3 linked regions of the Cricetulus griseus genome follow. The protein of the gene in region 2 purifies or fractionates together with the protein of the main gene of each other region. This does not show direct contact. Links are inferred from orthologs where the notes say so. Each region holds a gene or a part of one and is shown on either strand. Other genes may lie near its edges. The genes, in order: Nelfa, Nelfe and Nelfcd.

Region 1 (3,267 bases), on a different chromosome or scaffold from region 2:
GATGACTGTTAGTCAGTAGAGTAAAAATGCTGTGTCCATGTGTATCACGGTGTCACCATATCCTGTTGAGATGTGAAATGACCTATCACAAATTAAATTTAAGTTTAAATGTGCCTATTGGTGTCTAAACTTCATACAATATAGTCAGGTTCCTTTTAGGAATGCTGGGTACTGTCACCAGATCTGATAGTGAAGGCTTAAAAACTTGAAGTTTGCGGGGGAGGGGGGAAGTAATACCGAAATATAGACAAGAATTACCAGTTGGGGGAAAAATAGCATTTAAGTGGAAAGTTGTGTTTGGAAAACTGTATTGAGTATTTTTTTATTAAAAAACTTTAAAGGCCTTTTTCTTACACTTATTTTATATGGAACTATGTTTGACTTCTCCAACTTCCTGGGTGCTATGAATTTAAGACAGCAGGCATCGGCCCATTTCCCAATGCTGCGGCCTTGACATTCCCTGTTGTTGCCCTGTGACTGTGACCTCACACCCCAAGGTTGCCCTGCCCATTGCCTACTTATTTTCAGGTAGACTCTTTATCTCCCAGCTCTGCTTCTTCTCCCCTGGGGTTCTGACAGGTGTACAGGGAGGGGGTTTGGTCCCAGAACAGGGAGCCAAGCTAGCTTGAAACATAGCTCTGTGGGCTTTCTTTAGAAAAACTAAACTTTAATACTCATATCATTTTACAATGAAAATAGTTACCCAGAGACAGGCTTGAAATGTTTACAACTGTACAAAAGACATAGAAATCCCTGGCAGTCAGTAACCGTGAGGCTGGTCATAGCCCCCCTCACGCCCTAGCCTGCCAGGTGTCACCTTTGGTCCCCTCAGCCTCAGGAGGGAAGGCATGCACAAGCAGAGAACCTCCTCTCAGCCAGTGCAGTTTTTTTAAAGAAAAAAAGAGAAGGTAATAGTCTTATCAGGCACTAAAATGAAGTTGTAACTTTTTTGGTTTAGCATTCAAAATGTAATATTGAACCCCCCAAAAAAGGTAACTTAATCACACAAAAACTAACCCATTATAATAATTATATGTATATATAAAAAATAAGCCTAAACTCCCCAGAGAAATGATCTAAAACTTAAAAACAGCCTGGGGCCCAGTAGCCTGTGAATGACAGGTGCTGGGTGGAGCACATCCTTCGGTATCTGCTCAGGTCACTTAGCATAGCCAGCAGTACTTGTCTTCTGGCCTGATGAGGGTCAGCAGCGGAGATGGCCCTTAGGACACATTTGTCATGGGCTTGTACTTCTTGAATCGTGTCCACTGGCCCGTGGCGTAGTTCATCTCGAACACTGTGTCTACTAGCATGGTGGTGCTGCCCTGGCCGTCTGCCTTGGGCAGATCCTCTGTGTGCTCGCTGAGCTTGATCTGGATCACATCCCCCTGTTCCGGGCATGGGTTCTCTGTAGGAAGCAGGGGCTGCTGGGCAGGTGCCTGGGGCCAAGGAACCCATCCCCCACCCCACGGGGGGCACCTCCCAGGCCTAGTAGCACAGACACACCTCGAGAACCAGCCATGAAGCCCAGGATGAGGGCCTTCTCTGGCCGAGTGACCTTGTTTGCCGTCTTGAACATCTCCTGGGCAGCAAACATCTGTTCTCTCTGTAAAGAGAGGACGTGAGTGTGGGAGCTGCCCAGGCCACCTTGCCTCCTCCACCCACTGGCCCTGCCAGGTTCGTCCCATAACACCCCAGCTACTAACAGGCAAAGCTATGTCATCCACCTAATGGCCATGAAACCTGCCAGGGTACTTACTGTGAGGGACAGGTTCTTCTTAGGTTGCTGCTGAACAGGGGCAGGTGCCTGGGTCTGCGGGGCCACCATGGCCACTGGGGGTGTCTGAGCAGTAGGAGTGGCAGCTGGAGGAGTAGTAGGTGTCAGAGGCGAGGTAGGTGCTGCAGGTGTTGGTGTAGCTGGGCTCAGGCCACTGTTATACATAGGTGCCCTTTGTTTAAACTGAGCTGGCAGTGTAGGACTTGGGGCACTGGGCTCCTCAGGTGGTCGGCTGGCTTCCCGGGAAGGAGGGGCTGCAAGCAAAGCACGGTTACTAAGGAGGGTTGTCCAGGAAGAGAAGTACATCCCTAATCTACTCATCCCAGACTCGTCTCCAGGCTGCCTGTACTAACACCATTTTCTGGAGAGGCAATAGGCTCTTCCAGGTTCTGGCAGCAACTGTGACCCATACCCAATTGCTGTCTTCTATCACTGCTGACCAGAAGCCCTTACTGGCCTTCACAGGCAGGGACGTGAGCCCTGTGCACTACTACCCAGCAGGGCAGAACCTATGTCCTCAGGCATTCCTAGATCCACAGATTAAGTTATCCAGGACTCTGGTTAGCTCCTGGCCTATGGTAAATTCCCCATAACCTGGGTGCTGGTGGGAAGTAGCTTCCACAAACCTCAGCAGGGCTGACCCTCGACCCACTAACAATAGACAAAGCTGAGCCCAAAGGAACCAACCACCCAAGCAACTGACTAATCCAAGCTTACATCTGACCCTGAAGGAATCATCCTTCTGTAGTATCCTTCATTTGGGAAGAGACAATCCTCAGATCCTTACCCACCCAGAGAACAGGGTACCAATCTTGGCAGCCACTTGTTCACTAAAATCAAGGACTTCTGGCTTATTTCTAGGCCAGGAGGAGTTCCCTCCATGCTGCCTGGGATCAAGAGACACTGAGACAGGTGTCTCAATGCTGAGAAGCACCATGTGAGCAAGGCTACTTCCTAGGTGCACATACTAAGCTCAGTTTCGGTAACCCCAGGGCAAGTCCTTCTATGGGCTGAGGGAATACTGGCTTAGCATACTGCAGGCTACTTACCTGGGGGGTTCTCAGAACTGGGGATGTAAGATGAGGCAGGTACCACACTGGGGGTAGAGGGCAGGTAACTTGTAGAGGGAAGTGCTGGCTCACTATTCAAAGACCCAAGTTTCTGGAAGACAAGGGCCATGATCTCTTCAGGCAAAGGTCAGGTTTCAGTATACCTCCCTGGGGTATCCTAGACAGCCTCCATCAGCCCCTGCCCATCAATGAAGCAAGATGGCAGGTACTCATATCCCCAGGACAGGGACAGTGGCTTCTCCAGGCCACTGGCTTTAGTGATACTGGACTCCAAATTTAGGCCATGGCCACCACCCCAATTGTCCCAAATTGACACCTGAGGAAAGAAGTTGAGTAATGGAAAGAGCTCAGAGACATGACCATACCATGCCACAGGGCCACACTCTGCCTCTATACATGTGTCCTCTGCACCTACGGCCC
Region 2 (3,660 bases):
ATACGCTGTTGGAGCATTAGGTTTCTTATCTGTTACTCAGGAAACCTAGGTGGCTCCTACGTTTCTGTTTTCCACATTGGTGCTGCTAGGGTGGGATTGAGGGTTGAGTAAACCAAACCCTTATTTTAAAATAGCATAGCAAGCCAGGTGGTGGCAGCACGCCTTTAATCTCGGCACTCGGGAGGCAGAGACAGGCAGATCTCTGTGAGTTCAAGACCAGCCTATCTACAGAGCAAGTGCCAGGATAGACTCCAAAGCTACACAGAGAAACCCTGACTCGAAAACAAACAAAAAGACAAGCATCATCGCTGGGCGTTGGTGGCGCACGCCTTTAACCCCAGCTCTCAGGAGACATAGGCAAAAACCAAAGAAAAAACCAAGGGGAAAAAAAAAAAGACCAGCATCATCAAGAGAAGCCAAGAAGAGAGGGAAGAGGAACTCTGCTGGTCCACACTAACATGGGTGTCTATCCCTTCCCAGGACCCTGAGAAGGGGCCTGCCCCCACTTTCCAGCCGTTCCAGAGGAGCGTATCTGCTGATGAGGACCTGCAGGAGGTAAATGGCCGGGGTTGAAGACAAAAGACCCACAGATTTTGGATCCCGTTCGAGCACCTGGGAATCATATTAATTGTTCTTTATCTTCTTTTTCCCCCCCTCAGTCATCCAGACGTCCCCAAAGGAAATCTCTATATGAAAGGTTAGAGAGAAGCCACAGTTTGCTGTGGGGTCAGTGGCCAGAGTCATTGGAAGGTTCAGGGCTGGAGTGGAAGGAGCAGGCTGCAGGCGGAGTGTGTCTGTAAGAAGATGGAGCCCCCTTGTCCTTACTGTCTGCCTCTCCCCAGCTTTGTGTCTTCTAGCGATCGGTTGCGGGAACTGGGACCAGATGGAGAAGAATCAGAGGGCCCCGGGGCTGGTGATGGCCCACCCCGAGGTTTTGACTGGAGCTACGAAGAACATGGTGGTGCCCGCTCCTCAGCGTCCCCTCCCCGAAGCCGCAGCCGCGACCGAAGTCATGAGAGGAGCCGAGATAGGGACCGGGACAAAGACCGAGACAAAGACCGGGATAGAGACAGAGACCGTGACAGAGATAAAGACAGAGACCGGGACAGAGACAAAGACAGAGACCGGGACAAAGATAAAGACCGGGATCGAGACAGAGACCGCGAACGGGACCGAGAGCGCGAGGGCCCTTTCCGCAGTGCGTGCTTTTGGCCAGGGTTAGGTGGGCCCTGCTAAAGAGGGGGGTGACTGGGACTCAGTAGTGAATGACTGTAATTCCTGACCCACAGGGTCAGACTCATTCCCCGAAAGGAGGGCCCCTCGGAAGGGGAACACACTTTATGTGTATGGAGAGGACATGACGCCCACCCTCCTCCGAGGGGCCTTCTCTCCCTTTGGAAACATCATTGACCTCTCCATGGACCCACCCAGAAAGTAAGGACGAGCCTCCTGGGGAGGGAGCTGTGTGGGGACACTAGGGCCATGGACCACTACTGATCCCGCTTTTTCTCACCTCAGCTGTGCCTTCGTCACCTATGAAAAGATGGAGTCTGCAGATCAGGCCGTTGCTGAGGTTGGGACTTCTCAGACCCCTCCCTCCTGTCCCTCCTGTCCACCTCTTCTCCCGACTGAGAAAAACTCTGTCCTCAGAGCCCTGTCTGGTCCCCTGGCTCCCTGTAATGCCCACCTCTGTCCTCCCATTGTATCCCACAGCTCAATGGGACCCAGGTGGAATCCGTGCAGCTCAAAGTCAACATAGCCCGCAAACAGCCCATGCTGGATGCTGCTACTGGCAAATCTGTCTGGGGTTCCCTTGGTAAGGATGGGATTCTTCCCTCATCTCCTCTCTACAGCACACTACTCCCTAGAGTGCTAAGGGTGAAGGTTTGCGCTAGGCAGCTGATAGAGAATTGCCAGGCTGTCTGTCGAAGGGGAGGGAAGGGGAGGGGAGGGGAGTGACTGGCATGGGGAGTAGAGCAAGAACCATGTTGCCCCCTCTGAGCTGGGGTGGTGTCAGAACTTGAAATTGTGAGTCTGGAACCATCAAGAAATGGGAATTGTAGAGAAAAGGGTGACCCAGGACTGGTTTGGGGGATCAAGTACGTTAAGAAGCTGGCTGGGCTCTGTCTCCAGCAATCCTGGCCTGCCAGGAGGAAGTGGCAGCTTCATTGAAGGAGCCATGAGGCATCCCCCGAGAGCAGCCCCAGAAGCCCTGGGCCATGGACCCAGGCTCTGAGGAGGAGGGGCAGTCAGCAGAGGCAGAGTACAGGACCAGAGTTGGGGGGGGGGGTGCTGCCTCTGGCACCACAGGTGTAGGATGGAACCTTTGGCTGAGGAGTGTAAGGAAAGAGCAGCTGAGCACTTGGGATCTGAGGGTTCCACAGAAGACGTGTGTGGGGTTCCTCAGTGTGGACAGCCCACTCTGCCTGAAACAGATTTTCAGAGCAAGAGGCCCTGCAGACACCAGGAAGGAACCAGAATCGACCAGGATACCGGCAAGGGCCACAGAGATGTTCTCATCTTTAATTTCATGTATTTCATGATTTCATCATTCACATGTCTCACGCACAGTAACAAGGTTCTGCGTTCTCTAAGCCATAGTGAGACTCTGGCCACCAGGGGGCAGCATAAGCACTGGTAGGCCAAGGCCAGGGCGGAGATAATCAGACTCAGACCTCAGGTCTAACCTGTGAGCTGCTTGACATCTTAATTGTCCCTTTCCTCCCTCCTCAGCTGTCCAGAACAGCCCTAAGGGCTGCCACCGGGACAAAAGGACCCAGATTGTGTACAGTGACGATCTGTAGGAAACCTGTGGATGGCTTTTAGGACACGAAGCTGGATTCCTTGTGCCTCGTATGCCCCCAAGCTGGTCTCAGTAAAATCCTGGGGCAGAAGTTCCCTCACCCCCTTCAGCCTCTAGTCTTTCAACACTTGGGATCGGGGTTAAACCTTCAAAAGTGGCTGTCAGTGTTGATGTTACTTGTAGCAACATGACCAGTGCACACCCCCTGACCCCTTACCCCCAAAAGATGAAGAATACAGTCCTTATCGCAGCTGTTTTAATTTGACCCTCGCCCCTCCCAGCCGGAAGCCCCTCATAGGAAACCCAAATCCTCATCTTTGAGTTTCTCCTTGAGCCAGGGGAGCACCTGGAAAAGGTTGACATGGAAGTCCCGGGCATGAGCAGGTACCATCTGTTGCCGCCTCTGCCCTTTACAGACATCCACTACGCCCCAGCTGATGACACCGACCTGTGCAGGTGAAGGGTGCCATGGGTCACTTGACACTTCATAATCCCATAAAGCAGCCAAGCTGACCCAAAACAGTACACCAGGGGCCCAGCTCGCACTGTCTTCCTTGGTGCACATAGGCCAGATGCTTGGCTTATAGTCAGCCACGTGCATCAAGCGTTCCTTTTTGTGGTATATGTGGCCCCTGGGCGTCTCCCCCACAGACTCACTTGAATAAAGCGGCTCCTCTTGTGAACAATGAGAGGACCCCCAGAATCTCCTGTGGAAGAGAGAAGCTGTAGGGAAAGACGGCTGGGCCCTGTGGGCTTCACCATAGCCAGAGAGCCACCTCACCTTTGCAAGTATTGGGGTCAGCATAGGGGTCCACCCCGCCAGTGCAGAGGAACCTGGGGGTGACCACCTCAGACAC
Region 3 (3,646 bases), on a different chromosome or scaffold from region 2:
AAGGGGAGATCACCAGCGTGTCCACAGCCTGCCAGCAGTTGGAAGTGTTCTCCAGAGTGCTCCGGACCTCTCTAGCCACCATCTTGGATGGAGGAGAGGAAAACCTCGAGAAAAATCTTCCTGAGTTTGCAGTAAGCCCCTCTGAGTCTCAGGTGGAAGGGGGTTGCCTGAGGTCGGGCTTTGGGAGTGTCCCGTCCCCCTCCCCCCTCCCCGTAAAGCACCTCCAGGTCAGAGAACCCTGGCCAGAACCCCTTTTGTCTGCATTTAGCCCTGTGACCTGAACTTTGTCTCCCTGCAACCTTGTAGAAGATGGTGTGCCATGGGGAGCACACATACCTGTTTGCACAGGCCATGATGTCCGTGCTGGCCCAGGAGGAGCAGGGTGGCTCTGCAGTGCGCAGGGTCGCTCAGGAAGTCCAGCGCTTCGCCCAGGAGAAGTAAGAGATGCTTTCACTTGCCCTGCTCTTCTTTATCCTCAGAAAAGCTGTGGTCCTAGTCCACGGCTGGGCCTAGTAGAGGGCTGTGCTGTTGGCTCTTTGCTAAGAACGTGGTACGTGCTGTGGGCACTTGTGCTCGCTTGTGCTAGGAGACATTGAACAGCAGAAAAGCCCTGGCCTGGTCTCCAGTGCCCTGCTTCTTCATGGAGTCCGAGGTGCTCATTTTCTGCTGCCAAGTCTTCCCTAATGAGGTGTGCAGGGTGTGAGAATCCCTCCTGGAGGTTACAGCTACATCAGAGTCTTTCGCAGCTCATTGTAGCTGTTGTTCCCAGGGGTCAGTTAGTCAAAAGAGTAAATGACAGAACTGTGGGAAATCACAGGGGTCCCCACCAGCTCAGCAGTGAATGTTTAAAAGTGAAAGAAAAAAGAAAGCTGTTAGTGATGGTGTGTGACTTTCCAACCAGAGGCCATGACGCCAGTCAGATCACGCTGGCCTTGGGCACAGCTGCCTCCTACCCCCGGGCCTGCCAAGCTCTCGGCGCCATGCTGTCCAGGGGAGCACTGAACCCTGCAGACATCACAGTCTTGTTCAAGATGTTCACCAGCATGGACCCTCCTCCTGTGGAGCTCGTAAGCTGCCTATGCTTCGTGAGGCCAGGTGCCCCACGCCAGGTGTCAGGGTGGCTCGGGGAGGCCTCCAGGTCCCCTCATTCTCTTCAGGCCATGCCTGCTGGTCCCTGTGGAAATAGTTTTCATCATTAGAGTCAAGCTGGTCTCAAACTGGGCTGGCCCTCCTGCCCTGGCTTCGCTGGGTGCTAGGGGATACAGGCACAGCTACACCTGGCATAAGCCCTCCTCCTAACTTGGCTGGCACTACTAGAATTGAAGCCAGTACCTGTCACATTCTAGGCAAATGTTTCACCACAGAGGTACGCCCTGTGCTCTTGAGCTCTCCATTTCCACCCTTTCCTTCAGCCTTCACCCTGTCAGAGCCCTACAGGTGGGTGAGCCAGGGCCTCCCTCCTTCCAGCCCACTCCCGAGTATGCCTCTCCTTAGATCCGGGTACCTGCCTTCCTGGATCTGTTCATGCAGTCACTGTTCAAGCCAGGAGCCAAGATCAACCAGGACCACAAGCACAAATACATCCACATCCTGGCTTACGCCGCTAGCGTGGTGGAGACCTGGAAGAAGGTACTGTCGGCGCTAAGAACCTGTGGCCTCCTCGGCTCTGGTACTGTGTGGGGATTTGGCTGCAAGAACCTCAAGCCCGTGTAGCAGTGAAAATGCCTTTACCATTGTGTACAAGATCCCGAAAGAGCTCAGTGCCTGCAGGGTTTTGTGACATCCTTTACACTAGGACTGGGTAGTGGGATCCAGTTGAGTTTCTTGAGCCTCCCACACAGCAGCCTGTGACTCCTGGTTTCTGTGGGCTGTGTGACTGTGCAGTTTGACAGTTGAATTGACTTTTGACTCTGCAGATAGGGAAGGGGCCATCCCGGGGTACCCCACAGCAAGGCCACACTCCCATCATCACTCACCAGCTTGTATGGTTTCAGAACAAGCGGGTTAGCATTGGCAAAGATGAGCTGAAGTCCACGTCGAAGGCTGTAGAAACTGTCCACAATTTGTGTTGCAATGAGAACAAAGGGGCCTCCGAGCTGGTAGCCGAGCTGAGTACACTCTATCAGTGCATTAGGTGAGTGTGTCCCCCGTCTCCATCCGGTCCCTGGGGTGCCAGTCCTCCTGTCCCCATGGTTGGAGGGTGCACTCTGATGTGGAGCCAGCAAGAGCTCAGGTTTCTCATTCTTAGCACACATGGAGAAGTTAGCTGCGGCAGCATGAGTGTTTTTAGGTGCTCTTTGGCCAGGAATCTGTTCAGCAGACCCCCACAGAGCAGAGAAAGGACATCCAGAATTAGAAAATTGATTTAAAGAAAGTAGTAAAGCTACTAAGCCAAGACTCTGAAATAAGGGGGAGTGTGAGCCCAGGCTTTTGTACTGGTGATCATTTCCTTTTCGGTTCTGGAGGGTCTGAAGGAGCTGAGGATCAAATCCCTTCTGAAGGAGTTGGTCTCATCAAACCACTTCCGCCGTGAGCCACTCCTGCAGGCCAGAGTGAAGGGAGTGTCACTGGGGGTTCCCCAGACTTTGTCTGTCCTTGCTTCCCAACCCTTTATTGTTCCTTGGTGTATTTCAGCCTCCTTTCCCCTGTTCTTGGTCAAAGGAAGCCTCGTACCTTATCTTTCTGTAGGTTCCCGGTAGTGGCGATGGGTGTCCTGAAGTGGGTAGATTGGACGGTGTCAGAACCGAGATACTTCCAGCTACAGACTGACCACACACCAGTTCACCTGGCCTTGCTGGATGAGGTAAGGGGACGGAAGGGCCACTTGTGAGGTATACGGCGGTCTGTGTCTTGGATCTTTGCCCTGAGGTAAGGTTAGGAGACACTCTCTTCAGAGCTGGTGGTTTGTGTCCGGTGGGAGGCTCTCCTTTCAAGAACCCTGTAGATGTGTCTATCAGGTGTTACCAGAAGGGAGGCCTAGAACCTGATGAGTGCTGTCCCCGTCAGTGGTGAGCCACCTTGGTTGGCTGGACAATCCCGTGCATTCCCTGTGTACTGCTAGTGAGCCCAGAGAACCAGTAGGTGCCTCAGTGCCACCTCCTTGGCTGCCCACAGATCAGCACCTGCCACCAGCTCCTGCATCCCCAGGTTCTGCAGCTGCTTGTTAAGCTTTTTGAGACTGAACACTCCCAGCTGGACGTAATGGAGCAGGTGAGCTGCACCCCGGGGCTTGTTGGGGCTTGGGAAAGCCTCTGCCAGCTCTGACCTGCTCCCCTGGCCCTGCTCTTCCACAGCTCGAGTTGAAAAAGACCCTGCTGGACAGGATGGTCCACCTGCTGAGCCGTGGCTATGTGCTTCCTGTGGTCAGTTATATCCGCAAGTGCCTGGAGAAGCTGGACACCGACATCTCACTCATTCGCTACTTCGTCACTGAGGTCAGTAGCACCAGGGCTTCAGGGCTCACTCAGTTCAGTAGCCCAGCCCTTCAGGCTTCATGTCATCTCTGCGGTTCCCAACTCTGAGAGCCATGCTCTCGGTAATCATGGTGACACTGGTGGTTTATTAAATACACATCCCCTGTGGGTCCTCTGGGGGTGTCTCCAGGGAAACCTCAGGAAGGGTGGGACCATCTCACACAGCCCGCCAC

The links.
Region 1: the proteins of Nelfe (region 2) and Nelfa purify together in Homo sapiens (affinity purification with mass spectrometry; 9 studies listed by BioGRID and IntAct, counting the BioPlex papers as one, with this or other methods). This does not show direct contact. The link is inferred for Cricetulus griseus from reciprocal best matches to the Homo sapiens genes NELFE and NELFA.
Region 3: the proteins of Nelfe (region 2) and Nelfcd purify together in Homo sapiens (affinity purification with mass spectrometry; 9 studies listed by BioGRID and IntAct, counting the BioPlex papers as one, with this or other methods). This does not show direct contact. The link is inferred for Cricetulus griseus from reciprocal best matches to the Homo sapiens genes NELFE and NELFCD.

What each region holds. Positions count from the first base shown.
Region 1 is NW_023276807.1:102,927,587-102,930,853, forward strand, and holds the end of Nelfa (negative elongation factor A), read right to left. Parts: intron 2,939-3,267; coding exon 2,827-2,938; intron 2,032-2,826; coding exon 1,760-2,031; intron 1,607-1,759; coding exon 1,507-1,606; intron 1,409-1,506; coding exon 1,224-1,408; 3' UTR 646-1,223; downstream 1-645. UniProt on the Homo sapiens protein: Essential component of the NELF complex, a complex that negatively regulates the elongation of transcription by RNA polymerase II.
Region 2 is NW_023276806.1:231,395,900-231,399,559, forward strand, and holds the end of Nelfe (negative elongation factor E), read left to right. Parts: intron 1-480; coding exon 481-555; intron 556-659; coding exon 660-697; intron 698-842; coding exon 843-1,198; intron 1,199-1,289; coding exon 1,290-1,434; intron 1,435-1,518; coding exon 1,519-1,573; intron 1,574-1,713; coding exon 1,714-1,816; intron 1,817-2,733; coding exon 2,734-2,804; 3' UTR 2,805-3,053; downstream 3,054-3,660. Other genes in the region: Cfb (complement factor B), read right to left, coding at 3,096-3,251, 3,461-3,510, 3,585-3,660. UniProt on the Homo sapiens protein: Essential component of the NELF complex, a complex that negatively regulates the elongation of transcription by RNA polymerase II.
Region 3 is NC_048599.1:4,650,394-4,654,039, reverse strand, and holds part of Nelfcd (negative elongation factor C/D), read left to right. Parts: coding exon 1-131; intron 132-306; coding exon 307-437; intron 438-901; coding exon 902-1,067; intron 1,068-1,494; coding exon 1,495-1,629; intron 1,630-1,994; coding exon 1,995-2,134; intron 2,135-2,688; coding exon 2,689-2,803; intron 2,804-3,114; coding exon 3,115-3,210; intron 3,211-3,293; coding exon 3,294-3,434; intron 3,435-3,646. UniProt on the Homo sapiens protein: Essential component of the NELF complex, a complex that negatively regulates the elongation of transcription by RNA polymerase II.